Anolis sagrei: one gene and its partner. The protein of the gene in region 1 purifies or fractionates together with the protein of each later gene. This does not show direct contact. Links are inferred from orthologs where the notes say so. Each region holds a gene or a part of one and is shown on either strand. Other genes may lie near its edges. The genes, in order: ATP6V1A and ATP6V1F.

The links.
Region 2: the proteins of ATP6V1A (region 1) and ATP6V1F fractionate together in Homo sapiens (co-fractionation; 3 studies listed by BioGRID and IntAct, with this or other methods). This does not show direct contact. The link is inferred for Anolis sagrei from reciprocal best matches to the Homo sapiens genes ATP6V1A and ATP6V1F.

What each region holds. Positions count from the first base shown.
Region 1 is NC_090022.1:165,334,959-165,345,070, reverse strand, and holds the start of ATP6V1A (V-type proton ATPase catalytic subunit A), read right to left. Parts: upstream 4,874-10,112; 5' UTR 4,741-4,873; intron 1-4,740. Other genes in the region: NAA50 (N-alpha-acetyltransferase 50), read left to right, coding at 9,253-9,260. UniProt on the Homo sapiens protein: Catalytic subunit of the V1 complex of vacuolar(H+)-ATPase (V-ATPase), a multisubunit enzyme composed of a peripheral complex (V1) that hydrolyzes ATP and a membrane integral complex (V0) that translocates protons.
Region 2 is NC_090025.1:196,097,554-196,108,339, reverse strand, and holds the start of ATP6V1F (V-type proton ATPase subunit F), read right to left. Parts: upstream 4,061-10,786; 5' UTR 3,981-4,060; coding exon 3,823-3,980; intron 1-3,822. UniProt on the Homo sapiens protein: Subunit of the V1 complex of vacuolar(H+)-ATPase (V-ATPase), a multisubunit enzyme composed of a peripheral complex (V1) that hydrolyzes ATP and a membrane integral complex (V0) that translocates protons.

The DNA of each region.
Region 1 (10,112 bases):
GATCCCATCAGTGCTGCCTCCGGAAAACCCTGCAAATCTCTTGGGAAGACAGGCGGACAAACGTCAGCATGCTGGAAGAAGCAAAGACCACCAGCATTGAAGCGATGGTCCCCCGCCATCAACTCTGCTGGACCGGCCACGTTGTCCGGATGCCCGACCACCGTCCCCCAAAGCAGTTGCTCTACTCCGAACACAAGAACGGAAAACGGAATGCTGGTGGACTGGAAAAGAGATTTAAAGATGGGCTCAAAGCCAACCTTAAAAACTCCGGCATAGACCCCTCGCCCCCAGTCAAAATCCTGGCTACAGGCCTGAGCCAACCTTAAAAATTCTGGCATAGACACTGAGAACTGGGAAGCCCTGGCCCTTGAGCGCTCCAATTGGTGGTCAGCTGTGACCAGCAGTGCTGCAGAATTTGAAGAGGCACGAATGGAGGGCGAAAGGGAGAAGCGTGCCAAGAGGAGGGTGTGTCAAGCCAACCACGACCGAGACCGCCTGCCACCTGGAAACCAATGCCCTCACTACGGGAGAAGATGCAGAGCAAGAATAGGGCTCCACAGCCACATACGGACCCACAAGAATACTGGAAGACAATCCTCCTCGGAAAACGAGAGATCACCTAAGTTAAGTTAGGTTAATTTCCATACCTCACCTTACAAGATATTTAGAAGTAGTTACAAGAAATGACTCTGTTGATCAACCGTTCATTGCAGATTTTCCATTGTCTCTATTACAGATTGCTGTGATGCCAATAGCAATACCAATGTCTACTCCTGAGTTTTGAATCCAGTGATTTTGGCTATTTCCTTGGACAGAAAGCCATAATAGGTAAGTCTTATCTTAAATCTATATACTGTATATACTCGAGTATAAGCCTAGTTTTTCAGCCCTTTTTTTCAGGCTTATACTCGAGTCAAGGTTATTTATTATTTTACTCTGTTGTCGTTATTATTATTATTACACGTATTATTTATTCTAGTTATTATTATTATTATATTTATCATTTTCCTCCATTATTATTACATTATTTTTTACTTTATAATTGTTTACTGCTACATTCATTATTTTACTCTTTTATTACTATTATTACATTTCCAATATTTTACTCTATTATTATTATTATTATTACATTTATTATTTTACTCTATTATTATTGGAAGGATACGTAAGCACGTTTACGTTGAAGAAGGTTATTATAATGGTTTAATCAGAGTTTGACAGTCTTATCTTAAATTACAATGTTATGAAAATATTCAAAAACATTTCACCTACTGATGCCTCAATTAATATAATTTTATTGATATCTATTTTTATTTTGAAATTCACCATTAGCTGCTGCATTTCCCACCTCGGCTTATACTCGAGTCAATACATTTTTCCCAGTTTTTTATGGTAAAATTAGGTGCATCGGCTTATATTCGGGTCGGCTTATACGCGAGTATATACGGTATATATAAATGCTCTGTGCATAATGAGTACCTTAAAAACAAAAGAACCTATGAATGAAATCACACCAAATTTGGCAACAAAATGTCTCACTACACAAGGAGTGACCATCAATCAAAAAAGTATGATTTTGTCATTTGGGAGTTGTAGTTGCTGGGATGTATAGTTCACCTACAATCAAAGAGCACTCTGAACTCCACCAACAATCGAATTGACCTAAACTTGGCACACAGAATCCCATGACCAACAGAAAATACTGAAAGGGTTTGGTGGGCATTGACCTTGAATTTTGGAATTGTAGTTCACCTCCATCCAGGGAACACTGTGGACTCAAACAATGATGGATCCGGACCAAACTTGACAGGAATACTCAATATGCCCAAATGCAATGGCAAGAGTGCAACAGGACCCAAAGGAATGGGGGCAGTCTGCTGAGCAGGCCATTGAATAAGCCAGTGGTGATTCCAGTCCAATAAGGGCAGAATCCCAAGCAAGTGCACAAAAAGCGCAGGGGGGGGGGGGGGTGGGCAAGCAAAGCAAGGCCTGTCAATGTATTGTCGAAGGCTTTCATGGCCGGAATCACTGGGCTGTTGTAGGTTTTCTCAGGCTATATGGCCATGTTCTAGAGGTATTTTCTCATGACGTTTCACCTGCATCTATGGTAAGCATCCTCAGAGGTAGTGAGGTCTATTGGAACTAAGAAAGTGGGTTTATATATCTGTGGAATGACCAAGGTGGGGCAAAGAACTCTTGTCTGTTGGAGCTAGGTGTGAATGTTTCAACTGACCACCTTGATTAGCATTTGATTGCCTGGAAGTGCCTGGGGGAATCTTTTGTTGAGAGGTGATTGGATCACTGGGTTGTTGCAGATTTTTCGGGCTATATGGCCATGTTGTAGAGGCATTTTCTCCTGACGTTTCGCCTGCATCGATGGCAAGCATCCTCTGAGGTAGTGACGTCTATTGGAACTAGGAAAGTGGGTTTATATATCTGTGAAATTACCGGGGTGGGGCAAAGAACTCTTGTCTCTTGGAGCTAGGTGTGACTGTTTCAACTGACCACCTTGATTAGCATTTGATGGCCTGGCAGTTATTGGGGGAATCTTTTGTTGAGAGGTAATTAGATGACTGGGTTGTTGCAGATTTTTCCGGCTATATGGCCATGTTCTAAAGGCATTCCCTCCTGACGTTTCGCCTGCATCTATGGCAAGCATCCTCAGAGGTAGTGAGGTCTATTGGAACTAGGAAAGTGGGTTTATATATCTGTGAAATGACCGGGGTGGGGCAAAGAACTCTTGTCTGTTGGAGCTAGGTGTGAATGTTTCAACTGACCACCTTGATTAGCATTTATTTATTTATTTATTTACTTTGTTTGTATACCGCTCTTCTCAGCCCTTAGGCGACTCAGAGCGGTTTACAACAATTTAGGTATACACAATACAAAATCATTAAGCATTTAAAAGCAATAGCATCACAAATCATTAAACATCAATATCAATACATCACTACATCAATATAACAAATCCATCAGGTCTCATCAATGAAATCAGAATTCAAACTCGTTATCCGATATTCCGTGTTCCGATAGTCAATCAATCACACTGCTTAGTCGAATGCCTATTCCAGGGGTCCTCAAACTTTTTAAACGGAGGGCCAGGTCACAGTCCCTCAAACTGTTGGAGGGCCGAATTATAATCTGAAAAAACATGAATGAATTCCTATGCACACTGCACATATCTTATTTGTTGTGCAAAAAAACACAGAAAATAATAAAATAATTAAAATGAACAATTTTAACAAATATAAAATTATTAGTATTTCAATGGGAAGTGTGGGTCTACTTTTGGCTGATGAGATAGGATTGTTGTTATTGTTTGCTTTCAAGCCGTTACAGACTTAGATTGACCCTGAGTGAGGGCCAGGTAAATGACCTTGGAGGGCCGCATTCGGCCCCCAGGCCTTAGTTTGAGGACCCCTGGCCTATTCAAACAGCCAGGTCTTTACTTTCCTACGGAATGCCAGCAAGGAGGGGGTCAATCTAATATCTGCAGGAAGGGCATTCCACAGCCGACGGGCCACCACTGAGAAGGCCCTGTCTCTCCTCCCCGCTAGGCGTGCTTGTGAAGCCAGCGGGATCGAGAGCAGGGTCTCCCCAGACGATCTTAATGTCCTAACTGGTTCATAGGAGGAGACGCGTTCGGACAGGTAGGTCGGGCCAGAACCGTTTAGGGCTTTGATGGCCTGGCAGTGCCTGGGGCAATCTTTTGTTGAGAGGTGATTAGATCACTGGGTTGTTGTAGATTTTTTGGGCTATATGGCCATGTTCTAAGGCAAGGGTCCTCAAACTTTCTAAACAGAGGGCCAGGTCATATTTCCTCAAACTGTTGGCGGGCCGGATTATAATTTGAAAAAAAATGAATGAATTCCTATGCACACTACACATATCTTATTTGTAATGCAAAATACACTTTAAAACAATACAATAATTAAAATGAAGAACAATGTTAACAAATTCAATGGGAAGTGTGGGTCTGCTTTTGGCTGATGAGATAGGATTGTTGTTGTTGTTTGCTTTCAAGCCATTACAGACTTAGATTAACTCTGAGTGAGGGCCAGGTAAATGACCTTGGAGGGCCACATCCGGCCCCCAGGCCTTAGTTTGAGGACCCCTGGCCTATTCAAACAGCCAGGTCTTTACTTTCCTCCGGAATGCCAGCAAGGAGGGGGTCGATCCAATATCTGCAGGAAGGGCGTTCCACAGCCGAGGGGCCACCACTGAGAAGGCCCTGTCTCTCGTCCCCGCTAGGCGTGCTTGTGAAGCCGGCGGGATCGAGAGCAGGGTCTCCCCAGACGATCTTAATGTCCTAACTGGTTCATAGGAGACGCGTTCAGACAGGTAGGTCAGGCCAGAACCGTTTAGGGCTCTGATGGCCTGGCAGTGCCTGGGGAACTTTGTTGAGAGGTGATTAGATCACTGGGTTGTTGCAAATTTTTCGGGCTATATGGCCATGTTCTAGCAGCATTCCCTCCTGACGTTTCGCCTGCATCTATGGCAAGCATCCTCAGAGGTTGTGTGGTCCCCACAATCTCTGAGAATGCCTGCCATAGATGCAGGCGAAACTGCCAGAACGTGGCCTTACAATCCCAAAACCTACAACAACCCAAGGCCTGTCGGTTTGAGGAAATTGCGCCTGCCATAAATGACAAGCGCGGTCAGAAGCAAGGACTGGGGCCCTTCCTCCTCGAGGGGCTTCGGAGGGTCCAGGCCGAGGGGAAGGGCGTCCCGGGGCCTCACCTGGGATACAGGACAGAGCTGTGGCGCCTCCGGAAGCAGCTGGCTCCTTCGCTTCCTTCAACGCCGCAGGAGGAAGGTGAATGCGTCTGCCACCCCCGGGAATCTAGTGCGCATGCGCTTAACCAAGTGCACTTCCTCTTCCGCCTCGTCCGACGTTCTGCAGACTTTCCGTGCATAAGGAGTGAGTCAGGAAGCAGAGCTCTGTTAGGGTCAGCCCCCCCCCCCACCTTTTCAGTCACGTGACGGGCTTGCCAGATAATAGATAGAGATTCCTTGTTGTGTCTGACCTATGGCAACCCTAAGATTACTCTTATCTAGAAATGAGTGAGTTGCCCAAGGTCGCTCAGGCCAGCAATCAGGAGGGTTAATGCAGCTGTACTTCACACCAGGGGCATAAATACTACTACTACTACTTCTACTACTACTCATCATCATCATCATCATTATATAAATAAAAATGTAATGTTCGTTTGTGGGATGAACAAAACTCAAAAACCAGTGGGCCGATTGACACCAAATTTGGACAGCATACACCTAACAACCCAAACTATGTTCTTCACTCAATTTTTTTTAATTTTGTCATTTGGGAGATGTAGTTGCTGGGATTTATATTTCACCTACAATCAAAGAGCATTCTGAACTCCACCAATGATGGAATTGGACTAAACTTAGCACACAGGGCTCCCATGACCAACAGAAATAAAACTGGAAGGATTTGGTGGACATTGACCTTGAGTCTGGGAATTGTAGTTCACCCACATCCAGAGAGCACTGTGGACTCAAACAATGATAGATCTGGACCAAATTTGGCACAAATATTCCATATGCCCAAATATGAACACAGATGGAGTTTGGGGGAAATAGACCTTGACATTTGGGAGTTGTAGTTGCTGGGATTTATAGTTCACCTACAATCAAAGAGCATTCTGAACTCCACCAATGATGGAATTGAACCAAACTTGGCAGATAGGACTCCCAGCCATAGATATAGATAGATAGATAGATAGATAGATAGATAGATAGATATGATTCTCACACACACACACAGATATAGTATCATAGATTTGAAAGAGACCCCTAGAGAAGGACTATGATATGTTGCATGTTCCAGGGTGGGCAAACCAGACACTCTCCACATCAACACTGACAAAGAAACAACAAGAAATACTGTTTACTCACAAGCCTAAAAGAATTACATATATTAGAAACTAATACTTTCTAATTACTTTATTTTCCAGATCACCAGACTGGGCCACAGCAACGCGTGGCAGGGGACAGCTAGTAAATAATAATAATAAACTTTATTTATACCCCGCCACCATCTCCCCGATGGGGACTCGAAGCGGCTTACATGGGGCCAAACCCGAACAACATATTGTTGTTCATTCGTTCAGTCGTTTCCAACTCTTCGTGACCTCATGGACCAGTCCACGCCAGAGCTCCCTGTCGGCCGTCACCATCCCCAGCTCCTTCAAGGTCAATCCAGTCACTTCAAGGATACCATCCATCCATCTTGCCCTTGGTCGGCCCATCTTCCTTTTTTCTTCCATTTTCCCCAGCATCATTGTCTTCTCTAAGCTTTCCCATCTTCTCATGATGTGGCCAAATTACTTCATCTTGGCCTCTAATATCCTTCCCTCCAATGAGCAGTCGGGGTTTATTTCCTGAAGTATGGACTGGTTGGATCTTCTCGCAGCCCAAGGCACTCTCAGCACTTTTCTCCAACACCACAGTTCGAAAGCATCTGTCTTCCTTCGCTCAGCCTTCCCTATGGTGCAGCTCTCAAATCTGTAGATGTCTACAGGGAATACCATTGCTTTGACTATGCGGATCTTTGTTGGCAGTGTGATGTTTCTACTCTTCACTATTTTATCGAGATTCACCATTGCTCTCCTCCCAAGAAGTAAGTGTCTCCTGATTTCCTGGCTGCAGTCTGTGTCTGTAGTAATCTTTTCACCTAGAAATACAAAGTCTGTCACGGCCTCCACGTTTTCTCCCTCTACTTTCCAGTTGTCAATCATTCTTGTTGCCATAATCTTGGTTTTTATTATGTTTAACTGCAACCCAGCTTTTGCACTTTCTTCTTTCACCTTGATCAGAAGGCTCCTCAGCTCCTCCTCGCTTTTGGCCATCAAAGTGGTGTCATCTGCATATCTAAGGTTGTTAATGTTTCTTCCAGGATTTTCACCCCAGCCTTGCATTCCTCAAGCCCCACACATCGCATGATGTGTTCTACATACAAGTTGAATAGTTTGGGGGAGAGTATACAGCCCTGTCATACGCCTTTCCCAATCTTGAACCAGTCTGTTGTTCCATAGTCAGTTCTTACTGTTGCTACTTGGTCCTTATATAGATTCCTCAGGAGATAGACAAGGTGATTTGGTATGCCCATTCCACCAAGAACTTGCCACAATTTATTATGATCCACACAGTCAAAGTCTTTAGAATAGTCAATAAAACAGAAATAGATGTTTTTCTGAAACTTCCTGCCTTTCTCCATTATCCAGCGGATATTGGCAATTTGGTCTCTCGTTCCTCTGCCTTTTCTAAACCCAGCTTGAACATCTGGCAACTCTCTCTCCATGTATTGCCGGAGTCTTCCTTGCAGGATCTTGAGCATTACCTTACTGGCATGAGAAATAAGGGCCACTGTACGGAAGTTTGAGCAGTCTTTCGCATTTCCCTTTTTTGGTATGGGGATATAAGTTGATTTTTTCCAGTCTGATGGCCAACAACATTGCCATCAACAACAACAACATATTACATCAAGATAAAACCAAAACATAAACAAGCAACATCATCAAAATTACATTAAAAATTAAATAACAAAATAGCATTACAATCAACAAAAAGCACAGACATAGTAAACAGTGGACGGGCCACTTGTACAGGCTAAAATGTTAAAAACTATAATGAGATAAAAATAGGAGCAAGTTATTTGCCAGGTGCTCATAAAGATACACAGGGTTGTGAAACCAAACTTCCCATTTGGAGGGGGGGGGGCTGTATTTCAGTGACAGAAGCGTTGAGGGGAAGCGTTGATAAAGCTGCAGAATTCTGGGGAACGTAGTTTAGGATGTTGCAATTTTAGAATTTTTTAATACTGGTAGCCAGATCTTGTTCATTTTCATGGTTTCTTCCTTTCTGTTGAAATTGTCCACATGTTTGTGGATTTCAGTGGCTTCTCTGTGTAGTCTGACATGGTAGTTGTGAGAGTGGTCCAGCATTTCTGTGTTCTCAAGTAATATATTGTGTCCAGGTTGGTTCATCAGGTACTCTGCTATGGCTGACTTCTCTGGTTGAAGTAGTCTGCAGTGCCTTTCATGTTCCTGGATTCTTGTTTGGGCAATGCTGCGTTTGGTGGTCCCTATGTAGACTTGTCCACAGCTGCATGGTATACGGTAGACTCCTGCAGAGGTGAGAGGATCCCTCTTGTCCTTTGCTGAACGTAGCATTTGTTGGATTTTCTTGGTGGGTTTGTAGATTGTTTGTATGTTGTGTTTCCTCATCACAAGTCTACATAGGGACCACCAAATGCAGCATTGCCCAGACACGCATCAAGGGACATGAAAGGCACTGCAGACTACTTCAACCAGAGAAGTCAGCCATAACAGAGCACCTGATGAACCAACCCGGACACAGCATTTTATTTGAGAACACAAAAATGCTGGACCACTCTCACAACCACCATGTCGGACTACACAGAGAAGCCACTGAAATCCACAAACATGTGGACAATTTCAACAGAAAGGAAGAAACCATGAAAATGAACAAGATCTGGCTACCAGTATTAAAAAATTCTAAAATTGCAACAGCAAAAACAGCAGAGAGAAAAACAGGCAGAGACATCTAATCACCTTTCAAGAAGAGTTTGCTCCAGGCACAGTCAGCCCATTGTATGCTAATCAAGGTGGTCAGTTGAAAGATTCACACCTAGCCCAACTTACAAAAGCCCTTTGTCTCACCCTGGTCATTCCACAAATATATAAACCCCCTTTTTTCCCTTTTTTCCAACAGACCTCACTACCTCTGAGGATGCTTGCCATAGATGCAGGCGAAACGTCAGGAGAAATGCCTCTAGAACATGGCCATATAGCCCGAAAAAACCCACAAGAACTGAGTGATTCCAGCCATGAAAGCCTTCGACAATACATATTAGGTTGTACTTTGGGGGACAGTGGGGGGCTCAGTACAAAGTAGCGAGAAGGAACAACACCGGCCCCCAGCGGAAGAGCTGTGGCTCTTTTGCGCATGTCGAGAGGACCAGGCCCCGCCCGCTTTCTTTGACAGGCCTCCCTCAGGAAAGCGCGCGGGAACACGGCCGGAAGTGCGCGCGCCGTCACGCCGACGTGAAAGGCAAAAGGTCGGCCAGAGGGGCGGGGCTCCGCGCGCGCACGCTCGCTGCCTGGCTCGCCCGCGCGGTCGGTCGGAGCGGCCTGAGGCCCATGTGGATCGACGGCGGAAGTCGCCCAACCGCCAGCCCCGAGTCGAGGTCTCCGGCCCCCGGCAGCTATGAAGGGGTGAGTGCGGCGCCGGCCGTCCCAACCAGCACCCGGCGGCGGCGGTGGTTGTGTGCCGTCCCCGCCCGTCTTCGGGAGTTGAGGCGAGGGGGCCCGCTCGTGTTGCCGGGCCTCGCGCAAAGACAGCGGGTGGGAAGAGGGGGGGAAGGAAGGCGCGGGAGGCCTGCGCGGAGGGGGGCCCTCGCGCCAGTGGAACACGCGGGAACGGTTTCCATAGTGGGCTTTCCCACACAGACATGTAACCCGCAATATCAAGGCAGGTAATCTATATAAATAAAAATGTAATGTTTGTTTGTGGGATTAACATAACTCAAAAACCACTGGACGAATTGACACCATATTTGGACACAAGACACCTAATAACCCAATGTATGTCCTTCACTCAAAAATTGATTTTGTCATTTGGGAATTGTAGTTGCTGGGATGTATAGTTCACCTACAATCAAAGAGCATTCTGAACCCCACCGACAATAGAGTTGAACCAAACTTGACACACACTTCTCCCATGACCGAGAGAAAATACTGGAAGGGTTTGGTGGGCAGTGTCCTTTGGTTTTGGAGTTGTAGTTCACCTACATCCAGAGAGCACTGTGGACTCAAACAATGATGGATCTGGACCAAACTCTACACGAATACTCAATATGCCCAAATGTGGAGTTTGGGGAAAATAGAATCTTGAAATTTGGGAGTTGTAGTTGCTGGGATTTATAGTTCACCTACAATCACAGAGCATTCTGAACCCCACCAACAATAGGATTGGGCCAAACCTTCCACACAGAACACCCATGACAACCAGAGTGGGCCACAGCAACGCGTGGCAGGGGACGGCTAGTAAATAAATCAAAATATAAT
Region 2 (10,786 bases), on another chromosome or scaffold:
TAACAGCCTTGAATTCCACACCTCCATGCCTTAGCAAATCTCTAGTTTATTGCACAGACTCTAAAGCATAGGTCCACAAACCTTTTAAACAGAGGGCCAGGTCACAGTCCCTCAAACTGTTGGAGGGCTGGATTATAATTTGAAAAAAGCATGAATGAATTCCTATGCACACTGCACATATCTTATTTGTAGTGCAAAAAAACAACACTTAAAAACAATACAATAATTAAAATGAAGAACAATTTTAACAAATATAAACTTATTAGTATTTCAATGGGATGTGTGGGCCTGCTTTTGGCTGATGAGATAGGATTGTTGTTGTTGTTGTTGTGTGCCTTCAAGTCGTTTCAGACTTAAGTGAGGAAGAACTTCCTGACTGTGAGAGCCGTTCAGCAGTGGAACTCTCTGCCCCGGAGTGTGGTGGAGACTCCTTCTTTGGAAGCTTTTAAACAGAGGCTGGATGGCCATCTGTCAGGGGTGATTTGAATGCAATATTCCTGCTTCTTGGCAGAATGGGGTTGGACTGGATGATGGCCCAGGAGGTCTCATCCAACTCTTTGATTCTATGATTCCTGACTGAGAGAGCCGTTCAGCAGTGGAACTCTCTGCCCCGGAGTGTGGTGGAGACTCCTTCTTTGGAAGCTTTTAAACAGAGGCTGGATGGCCATCTGTCAGGGGTGCTTTGAATGCAATATTCCTGCTTCTTGGCAGAATGGGGTTGGACTGGATGGCCCATGAGGTCTCTCCCAACTCTTTGATTCTAGGATTCTATGATTGTATGAGCGAGGGCCAGGTAAATGACCTTGTAGGGCCGCATCTGGCCCCTTAGTTTGAGGACCCCTGCTCTAAAGAAAGGGAGCAAGACCCAGCAATACCAAAGAAAGGAGTATTATCTGCTTCAAAGGATAAGGAGGGCAGTTTTTATTTTATTTATTTTTTCCACCACAACTTCCATACTCCTTATAATCCCTTTCCAGTGGTTCTGCTTTCTTTGAGTTGCATTTAACACAATCAGACACAATCCACTTTAGTGTTGTGGGAATGAATCTTCTCAAGCTATATTTTCAAACAGTTTTCAATGCTGGGTTGTTGTAGGTTTTTTTTGGGCTATATGGCCATGTTCTAGAGGCATTCTCTCCTGACGTTTCGCCTGCATCTATGGCAAGCATCCTCAGAGGCAGTGAGATCTGTAGGAACTAGGAAAAAGGGTTTATATATCTGTGGAATGGCCAGGGTGGGACAAAGGACTCTTGTCTGCTGGAGCTAGGGGTGAATGTTTCAACTGACTATCTTGATTAGCATATAATGCCCTGACAGTGCCTGGAGCAATCTTTTGTTGAGAGGTGATTAGATGTCCTTGTTTGTTTCCTCTGTTGTGCTGTTGTGATTTTACATTTACACCTAGCTCTAGCAGACGAGAGTCCTTTGTCCCACCCTTGTCATTATTCCACGGATATATAAACCCTTTTTATATCTGTGGAATAATGTCGTTGCTGGAATTTCCCTTAAACTCCATCTGTGTTCATATTTGGGCATATGGAATATTTGTGCCAAGTTTGGTCCAGATCCATCACTGTTTGAGTCCCAGCAACGACAATTCCCAAATGACAAAATCAATTTTTTTTTAGTGGCTTCAAACTACAAGAAAGGAGATTCCATCTGAACATGAGGAAGAACTTCCTGACTGTGAGAGCCGTTCAGCAGTGGAACTCTCTTCCCCGGAGTGTGGTGGAGGCTCCTTCTTTGGAAGCTTTTAAACAGAGGCTGGATGGCCATCTGTCAGGGGTGATTTGAATGCAATATTTCTGCTTCTTGGCAGAATGGGGTTGGACTGGATGGCCCAGGAGGTCTCTTCAAACTATGATTCTAGTAGTTGTTGTTATTTGGTCTGTCCAATGCAATTTTCTGAATCAGAGCCCCAAATAATGAAACTGAATCTAAAAACTGATTCGTAACCCTTTTTGTACTAATTTTGGAGTGGTCCGCTGATTCTTAACCCTTTTGGTACTAATTTTGGAGAGTGATCCCTGGTCAAAAAAAGGTTGGGAACCACTGATCTAGATGCAAAGTGGCTCTCGACATTTAAAAAACATTCCACAGTAAACAGTTCTGCAAAGCAAAGGCTGTAGCCAAATGTATTCATTCGTTTATCACAAGAGAAACAAGTCCTCCCATCAGCTGACCCTTCTGGAGTCATAGATTTTCCCAGTAGAAAAATAGAGGAAGTGTTTCTCATTCTACCCAAAAGCAGAAATGGAAACTTTTGACCTTGAGACATGAAGTGTGATTAATTTAAAAGAGGAAAGACATCTCCGGGATCTGCTGGGAGGGAAGTAACTATCATCCACCCAAGTCATTCTCATATATATATATATATATATGATTTTTAGTTTTCAGTATGTTTTAATGGATTTTAAATGTGAATTTTAATTCTGTTTTAATGTTTGCATATTTGTACAATTTAAATTATGTGATCCTACTTTTCATAGAATCATAGAATCAAAGAGTTGGAAGAGACCTCATGGGCCATCCAGTCCAACCCCTTTCTGCCAAGAAGCAGGAATATTGCATTCAAATCACCCCTGACAGATGGCCATCCAGCCTCTGCTTAAAAGCTTCCAAAGAAGGAGCCTCCACCACACTCCGGGGCAGAGAGTTCCACTGCTGAACGGCTCTCACAGTCAGGAAGTTCTTCCTCATGTTCAGATGGAATCTCCTCTCTTGTAGTTTGAAGCCATTGTTCCGCGTCCTAGTCTCCAAGGAAGCAGAAAACAAGCTTGCTCCCTCTTCCCTGTGGCTTCCTCTCACATATATATACACAGCTATCATATCTCCTCTCAGCCTTCTCTTCTTCAGGCTAAACATGCCCAGTTCCCTAAGCCGCTCCTCATAGGGCTTGTTCTCCAGACCCTTGATCATTTTAGTTGCCCTCCTCTGGACACATTCCTGCTTGTCAATATCTCTCTTGAACTGTGGCACCCAGAATTGGACACAATATTCCAGATGTGGTCTAACCACTTACTTTTAATGGTAAGCCGCTTTGAGTCTCCTTCGGGAGAGGTAAAGTGGGGTATAAATAAACATAACAGCAATATAGTTAAGGATTTTTTTTTCCTGCAACCCATGGGAAGCAAATATAGGTTGCACATCCCTTATTCCAAGGTCAGTTGAAACATTCACACCTAGCTCTAGCAGAGAAGAGCTATCTGCCCCACCCTGGTCATTCCACAGATACATAAACCCTTTTTCCTAGTTCCAATAGACCTCACTACCTCTGAGGATGCTTGCCATAGATGCAGGCGAAACGTCAGGAGAGAATGCCTCTAGAACATGGCCCTATAGCCCGAAAATACCTACAACAACCCAATATATTATTAACATAGTACAATATCAGTTTTAAATATTGCTATATTGCACTATATCAATTATACTGTAATATTATTAGTAACATTACATGTATTATAAATATATAATTATAATATATTATTATTAGTAGTATTATATTGCATTAAATTACAATATTATAAATATTATATTATATACTTATTTATTTATATTTACTATATTTTATATTTACTATATTATTGTCATAATTATGATTACTATTTAATCCCCGCTTTTTCTCTCCCCGAAAGAGACTCAAGGCTGTAACTTTATTCCCTTCCCCTCCATTAATTGGTTCAGTCCAAACCCAGGCATTTCCCCCTATCTTTCCTGGGAGAGTGGTTCAGTCCAAACCCCTGCGTTTCCACGGCAACCGGCTGTTCCACCTAGTTCTCTCCCCTCCCCCCCCCCGCCCCCCGCGTCCCCAATTCGAATTACCGGAAGGCCTCCTCGATTTCGGCCAGGGCGGTCTCCTTCTCCACCACCAAGAAGTTCGGGCGGCGGTGCTTGTCGAGCTCCCCGACGCCTCCCAGCAGGAAGCCGGTCACCGTGTCCTCGTCTCCCAGGACGGCGATGAGCTTCCCCCGGCCGGCCATGACGCCTCAGGAAACGCGCGAGGGATAAGAATGACCCCGAGCGGCCGCCGTAGGGAGCTGTTATACTGCACGGAGGTGCATGCGCAGTCGCCTCATGGCTCTCTGCGCATGCGTCCAGGTTTGCTGCTGCAGCTGTCCACAGAGATAGAAACCAGTAGAGGCACACACGGATGTTGAGCTTGAGGAAAAACTTTCTGGCCTGTCCTGGGGAACTCTCTGCCTCTTTGGAGGCTTTCAAACAGACGCTGGATGGACATCTTTCTGGAGGGCTCTGCACGCTCCCTGTATAACTTCTCGCTGGGCTTGTTTGCCTCACCTGGCTCAGGCCCCTTCCACACTGCCATATAAGATCCAGATTATCTGATTTGTAAACAAGATTATCTGATCTAATCTAACATCTAATTACCTCTCAAACGTTTGCCCCAGACACTGTCAGGCCATTGTATGCTAATCAAGGTGGTCAGCTGAAACATTCACACCTAGCTCCAGCAGACAAGAGTCCTTTGTCCCACCCTGGTCATGCCACAGATATATAAACCCATTTTCCCAGTTCCAACAGACCTCACTACCTCTGAGGATGCTTGCCATAGATGCAGGCGAAACGTCAGGAGAGGATGCCTCTAGACCATGGCCATATAGCCCGAAAAAACCTACAACAACCCAAGATTATCTGATTTGTAACCAAGGTTACAAGAATATTGGTTATAGAACTCCAATATGCTGATGATAACATCGTATGTGCGCATTCAGAAGAAGACTTACAAGCCACTCTAAACACCTTTGCAGAAGTGTAATCGGTTATAGAACACCAATATGCCGATGATAACGTATGTGCGTATTCAGAAGAAGACTTACAAGAAACTCTAAACACCTTCGCAGGAGTATAATTGGTTATAGAACTCCAATATGCCGATGATAACGTCGTATGTGCGCATTCAGAAGAAGACCTACAAGCCACTCTAAACACTTTCGCAGGAGTATAATCGGTTATAGAACTCCAATATGCCGATGATAACGTCGTCTGTGCGCATTCAGAAGAAGACCTACAAGCCACTCTAAATACCTTCACAGGAGTATAATCGGTTATAGAACTCCAATATGCCGATGATACCGTCGTATGTGCGCATTCAGAAGAAGACTTACAAGCCACTCTAAACACCTTCGCAGGAGTATAATCGGTTATAGAACTCCAATATGCCGATGATACCGTCGTATGTGCGCATTCAGAAGAAGACCTACAAGCCTCTCTAAACACCTTCGCAGGAGTATAATCGGTTATAGAACTCCAATATGCCGATGATAACGTCGTATGTGCGCATTCAGAAGAAGACCTACAAGCCACTCTAAACACCTTCGCAGGAGTATAATCGGTTATAGAACTCCAATATGCCGATGATAACGTCGTATGTGCTCATTCAGAAGAAGACCTACAAGCCACTCTAAACACCTTCGCAGGAGTATAATCGGTTATAGAACTCCAATATGCCGATGATAACGTCGTATGTGCTCATTCAGAAGAAGACCTACAAGCCACTCTAAACACCTTCGCAGGAGTATAATCGGTTATAGAACTCCAATATGCCAATGATAAAGTCGTATGTGCTCATTCAGAAGAAGACCTACAAGCCACTCTAAACACCTTCGCAGAACCATAATCGGTTATAGAACTCCAATATGCCGATGATAACGTTTTATGTGCACATTCAGAAGAAGACCTACAAGCCACTCTAAACACCTTTGCAGGAGTATAATCGGTTATAGAACTGCAATATGCCGATGATAACGTCGTATGTGCACATTCAGAAGAAGACTTACAAGCCACTCTAAACACCTTTATTTATTTATTTTATTTATTTATTTATTTCATTTACTTATACCCCGCCCTTCTCACCCCGGGGGGGACTCAGGGCGGCTTACAGTGGGGGCACAATTAGATGCCCAGAACAATTTACAGCAATACAAATACAACCATCACAACAATTAATTAAAACATCAGTACATAATAAAAACATAATAAAACATAATAAAAACATAAACAATCTCATGCTCGGGTTCAGAGTTCATATGTCCATTCCATTCTAATTGTTCTTGTCTAACATCAGATCCTTCAGTTAACCTTCAGAATGGCCAAAGGCTTGATCCCAGATCCAGGTCTTCAGTCTTTTCCTAAACACCATGAGGGAAGATGCCGATCTAACCTCCCCGGGGAGTGAGTTCCACAGGTGGGGGGCCACCACTGAGAAGGCCCTGCTCCTCGTCCCCGCCAGCCTCACTTGTGAAAGTGGCGGGGTCGAGAGCAGGGCCTCCCCAGAAGATCTTAGGTTTCGAGGTGGGATGTAGAGGGAGATCCGTTCGGACAAATACACCGGGCCGGAACCGTATAGGGTTTTGTAGGTCAAAACCAGCACTTTGAATTGTGCTCGGAATTGGATCGGCAGCCAGTGGAGCTGACGCAACAGGGGGGTGGTGTGCTCCCTATACGTCGCCCTGGTGAGCAATCTGGCTGCTTCTCGCTGGACTAATTGTAGTTTCCGAGCAGTCTTCAAAGGCAACCCCACGTAGAGTGCGTTGCAGTAATCCAACCGGGATGTGACAAGAGCGTGGACCACCGTGGCCAGATCTGGCTTCTCAAGGTACGGGCGCAGCTGGCGCACAAGTTTTAATTGTGCGAAAGCTCTCCCGGCCACCGCTGAGACCTGGGGTTCCAGGCTCAGCAATGAGTCCAGGATCACTCCCAAGCTGCGAACCTGCGTCTTCAGGGGGAGTGTAACCCCGTCTAACACAGGCTGTAACCCTATACCCTGATTGGCCTTACGACTGACCAGTAGGACCTCTGTCTTGTCTGGATTCAATTTCAATTTGTTAGCTCTCATCCAGTCCGATACAGCAGCTAAACACCGGTTCAAGGTCTGGACAGCCTCCTTGGTGACAGGTGAGAAGGAGTGACAGATTTGGACATCATCTGCGTAGAGATAGCATCTCGTTCCGAAACTCCGAATGATCTCTCCCAACGGTTTCATGTAGATGTTAAATAACATCAGGGACAGAATTGAACCCTGTGGGACTCCACACAACAACGGTTGTGGGGCCGAACAGGTGTCACCCAGTAACACCTTCTGGGTCCGTCCCTCGAGGAAGGATCAGAGCCACTGCAAAGCAGTGCCCCCAAGCCCCATATCCCTGAGGCGACCCAGAAGGATACCGTGATCGACGGTATCGAAAGCCGCTGAGAGGTCCAGCAGAACTAACAGGGACACACTCCCCCTGTCCAGTTCCCTGCGCAGATCATCTACCAAGGCGACCAAGGCTGTCTCAGTTCCATGTCCCGGCCTAAAGCCAGACTGTGCCGGATCCAGATAATCAGTGTCTACCAGAAACCCCTGGAGTTGTGTTGCCACCACACGTTCCATGACTTTGCCCAAGTAGGGGAGATTGGAAACTGGCCGAAAGTTGTCAAATTGAGTGGGATCCAGTGATGGTTTCTTCAACAGCGGTTTTATAATAGCTTGCTTTAAGCTCGCTGGAAATTTTCCTTCTTGTAAGGAAGCGTTAACCATCACCTTCACCCACTCCGCCAAACCCCCTCTGGCTTCCTTAATCAGCCAGGATGGGCAGGGGTCTAGGATGCATGTGGTGGGTCGCACCTCTCCAAGGATCCTGTCCACATCCTCAAGCTGAACCAATTGAAACGAATCCAACAAAACTGGACAAGCAGATGCTCTCGTTACATCCCCGGAGACTGCCGTTAACATGACGTCAAGACCTGACCAAATCCGCTCAGTTTTATCCGCGAAGAATCGAGCAAATGCTTCACAGCGAGCCACCGAGTTGTCCGAGGCCTCGCTTTTTGGCGGATTTAACAGGCCCCTGACAACTCGGAAAAGCTCCGCTGGACGATTCTTTGCTGATGCAATATTGGCTGTGATGAATATTTTCTGGGCCGCCGTTATTGCCACACCGTAGGACCTTAAAAAGGCATTCAGGTGTGTTTGGGCTGGATTGGTGGGGTTCTTGCGCCACACGCACTCTAACCTCCTCTTCTTTCGCTTCATTGCTGCCAGCTCCTCAGTAAACCAAGAGGCTGGTTTAGCTCGGTTACTCGAGAGGGGGCGTTCCGGAGCGATAGTGTCAATTGCCCTAGTCAACTCATTATTCCAACGAGAGACCAGAGCATCGACAGTATCACTAGCCAAGGAGGTGGGAAGATCCCCAAGAGCCATCAGGAGTCCATTTGGATCCATAAGTCTCCTGGGGCGGACCATTCTAATAGGTCCACCACCCTTGCGGAGGTTAGGAGGCCCAGTTAGTCTAAAACTGATCAGGTGGTGATCGGTCCAGGAGTATAATCGGTTATAGAACTGCAATATGCCGATGATAACGTCGTATGTGCACATTCAGAAGAAGACTTACAAGCCACTCTAAACACCTTCGCAGGAGTATAATCGGTTATAGAACTCCAATATGCCGATGATAACGCCGTATGTGCCCATTCAGAAGAAGACCTACAAGCCACTCTAAACACCTTCGCAGAAGCATACGAGCTCGGCCTCTCATTGAACATCATCGAGAAAGCCAGTGCTCTCCCAGCAGTCACCAGCCAATCCCTCTCCAATGCCAGAAATACAGCTTAATGGTGAAACATTATTATTATTATTATTATTATTATTATTATTATTATTATTGTGGAAAAGAAAAAAGTCTGGATTATTGATGTTGCCATACCGGGTGACAGTCGCATTGAGGAAAAACAGGAAAAACTCAGCTGCTATCAAGACCTCAAAATCGAACTGCAAAGGCTCTGGCATAATATTATTATTATTATTATTATTATTATTATTATTATTATAACTTTATTTGTACCCCGCTAGCATCTCCCGAAGGATTCGATGCGGCTTACAACATAACCCAGTACAGGTGGTCCCAGTGGTCATGGGCGCACTGGGTGCCATGCCAAAAGATCTCAGCCGGCAGTGGGAAACAATACACATTGTTTGCTGTAACATACTGTGCTTTTGTGTCAGAATAATAATAATAATAATAATAATAATAATAATAATAATAATTGTGCCTTCACACCCAGACACTATAAAGGTAAAACAAAGATGTGCTTCTCTCTTTATCTGGGTATGTATTTATCGTGTCATCAGCAACCAGACCATTGTATTACATTTCTAACAGAGCAAAACATGCAAACAGATTTTTAAAAACCACAAATTTTGCAAGCTTGGTAGCTGGTTAAATGTTTTATTTTATTTTTATTTTTTTTTATTTTGTATTTTTATATTTTATTTTATATTTTTAAAGTGAATATTGTATTTTTAAATATGTTGTAAACCGCAATGAGTCGCCGCACAGGCTGAGATATTAGCGGTATACAAGTGTACTAAATAAATAAATAAATAAATAAATAATAAATAAATAAATAAATAAATAAATAAATAAATGTCCTTTGACCAGTATCTGGCCACTTGGAGTGCCTCTGGTGTTGCCGCAAGGAGGTCCTCCATTGTGTTGCATTGCACAGGTTGCATTGCAGCAGACCGTCAGTGGTTTGCTCTTCTCCGCACTCGCATGCCGTGGATTCCACTTTGTGGCCCCATTTCTTGAGGTTGGCTCTGCATCTCGTGGTGCCCGAGCACAGTCTGTTCAGCGCCTTCCAAGTCGCCCAGTCCTCTGTGTGCCCAGGGGGGAGTCTCTCATTTGGGATCAGCATTGATTGAGGTTCTGGGTTTGAGCCTGCCACTTTTGGACTCTCGCTTGCTGAGGTGTTCCAGCGAGTGTCTCTGTAGATCTTAGAAAACTATTTCTAGATTTAAGCTGATCCCCAACCCATCTAAAACACAGACATGTGCCTTTCACCTTAAGAACAGACAAGCATCCCAAGCTCTGAGGATTATTACCTGGGAGGGAAGGAATCCCACGGGAGCATTGCAGCGCACCCAAATACCTGGGAGTCACTCTGGACCGTGCTCTGACCTACAAGAAGCACTGCCTGAACATCAAGCAAAAAGTGGGTGCTAGAAACAATATCATACGAAAGCTGACTGGCACAACCTGGGGATCACAACCAGACACAGTGAAGACATCTGCCCTTGCGCTATGCTACTCTGCTGCTGAGTACGCATGCCCAGTGTGGAACACATCTCACCACGCTAAAACAGTGGATGTGGCTCTTAATGAGACATGCCGCATTATCACGGGGTGCCTGCGCCCTACACCACTGGAGAAATTACACTGCCTAGCTGGTATTGCACCACCTGACATCCGCCGGGAAGTAGCAGCCAAGAGTGAAAGGACCAAGGCAGAGACATCTCCAGCTCATCCCCTGTTTGGGTATCAGCCAGTGTGTCAACGACTTAAATCTAGAAATAGTAATCTGGATGATATGGCAGTATAGATTCAGCCTCAGACTGCTGGGGAGTCTCCATCACTGCTGAAGGCTCATCCTTAGCAGTGACTGAATTAAACTAGAGCAGTGTTTCTCAACCTGGGGGTCGGGACCCCTGGGGGGGTCGCGATGGGGTGTTGGAGGGATCACCAAAGACCATCAGGATACACAGTATTTTCTGCTGGTCATGGGAGTTCTGTGTGGGAAGTCTGGCCCAATTCTATCGTTGGTGGGGTTCAGAATGCTCTCTGATTGTAGGTGAACTATAAATCCCAGCAATTACAACTCCCAAATGTCAAGGTCTATTTTCCTCAAACTCCCAACAGTGTTCACATTTGGGCATATTGAGTATTCGTGCCAAATTAGTCCAGATCTATCATTGTTTGAGTCCACAGTGCTTTCTGGAGATAGGTGAACT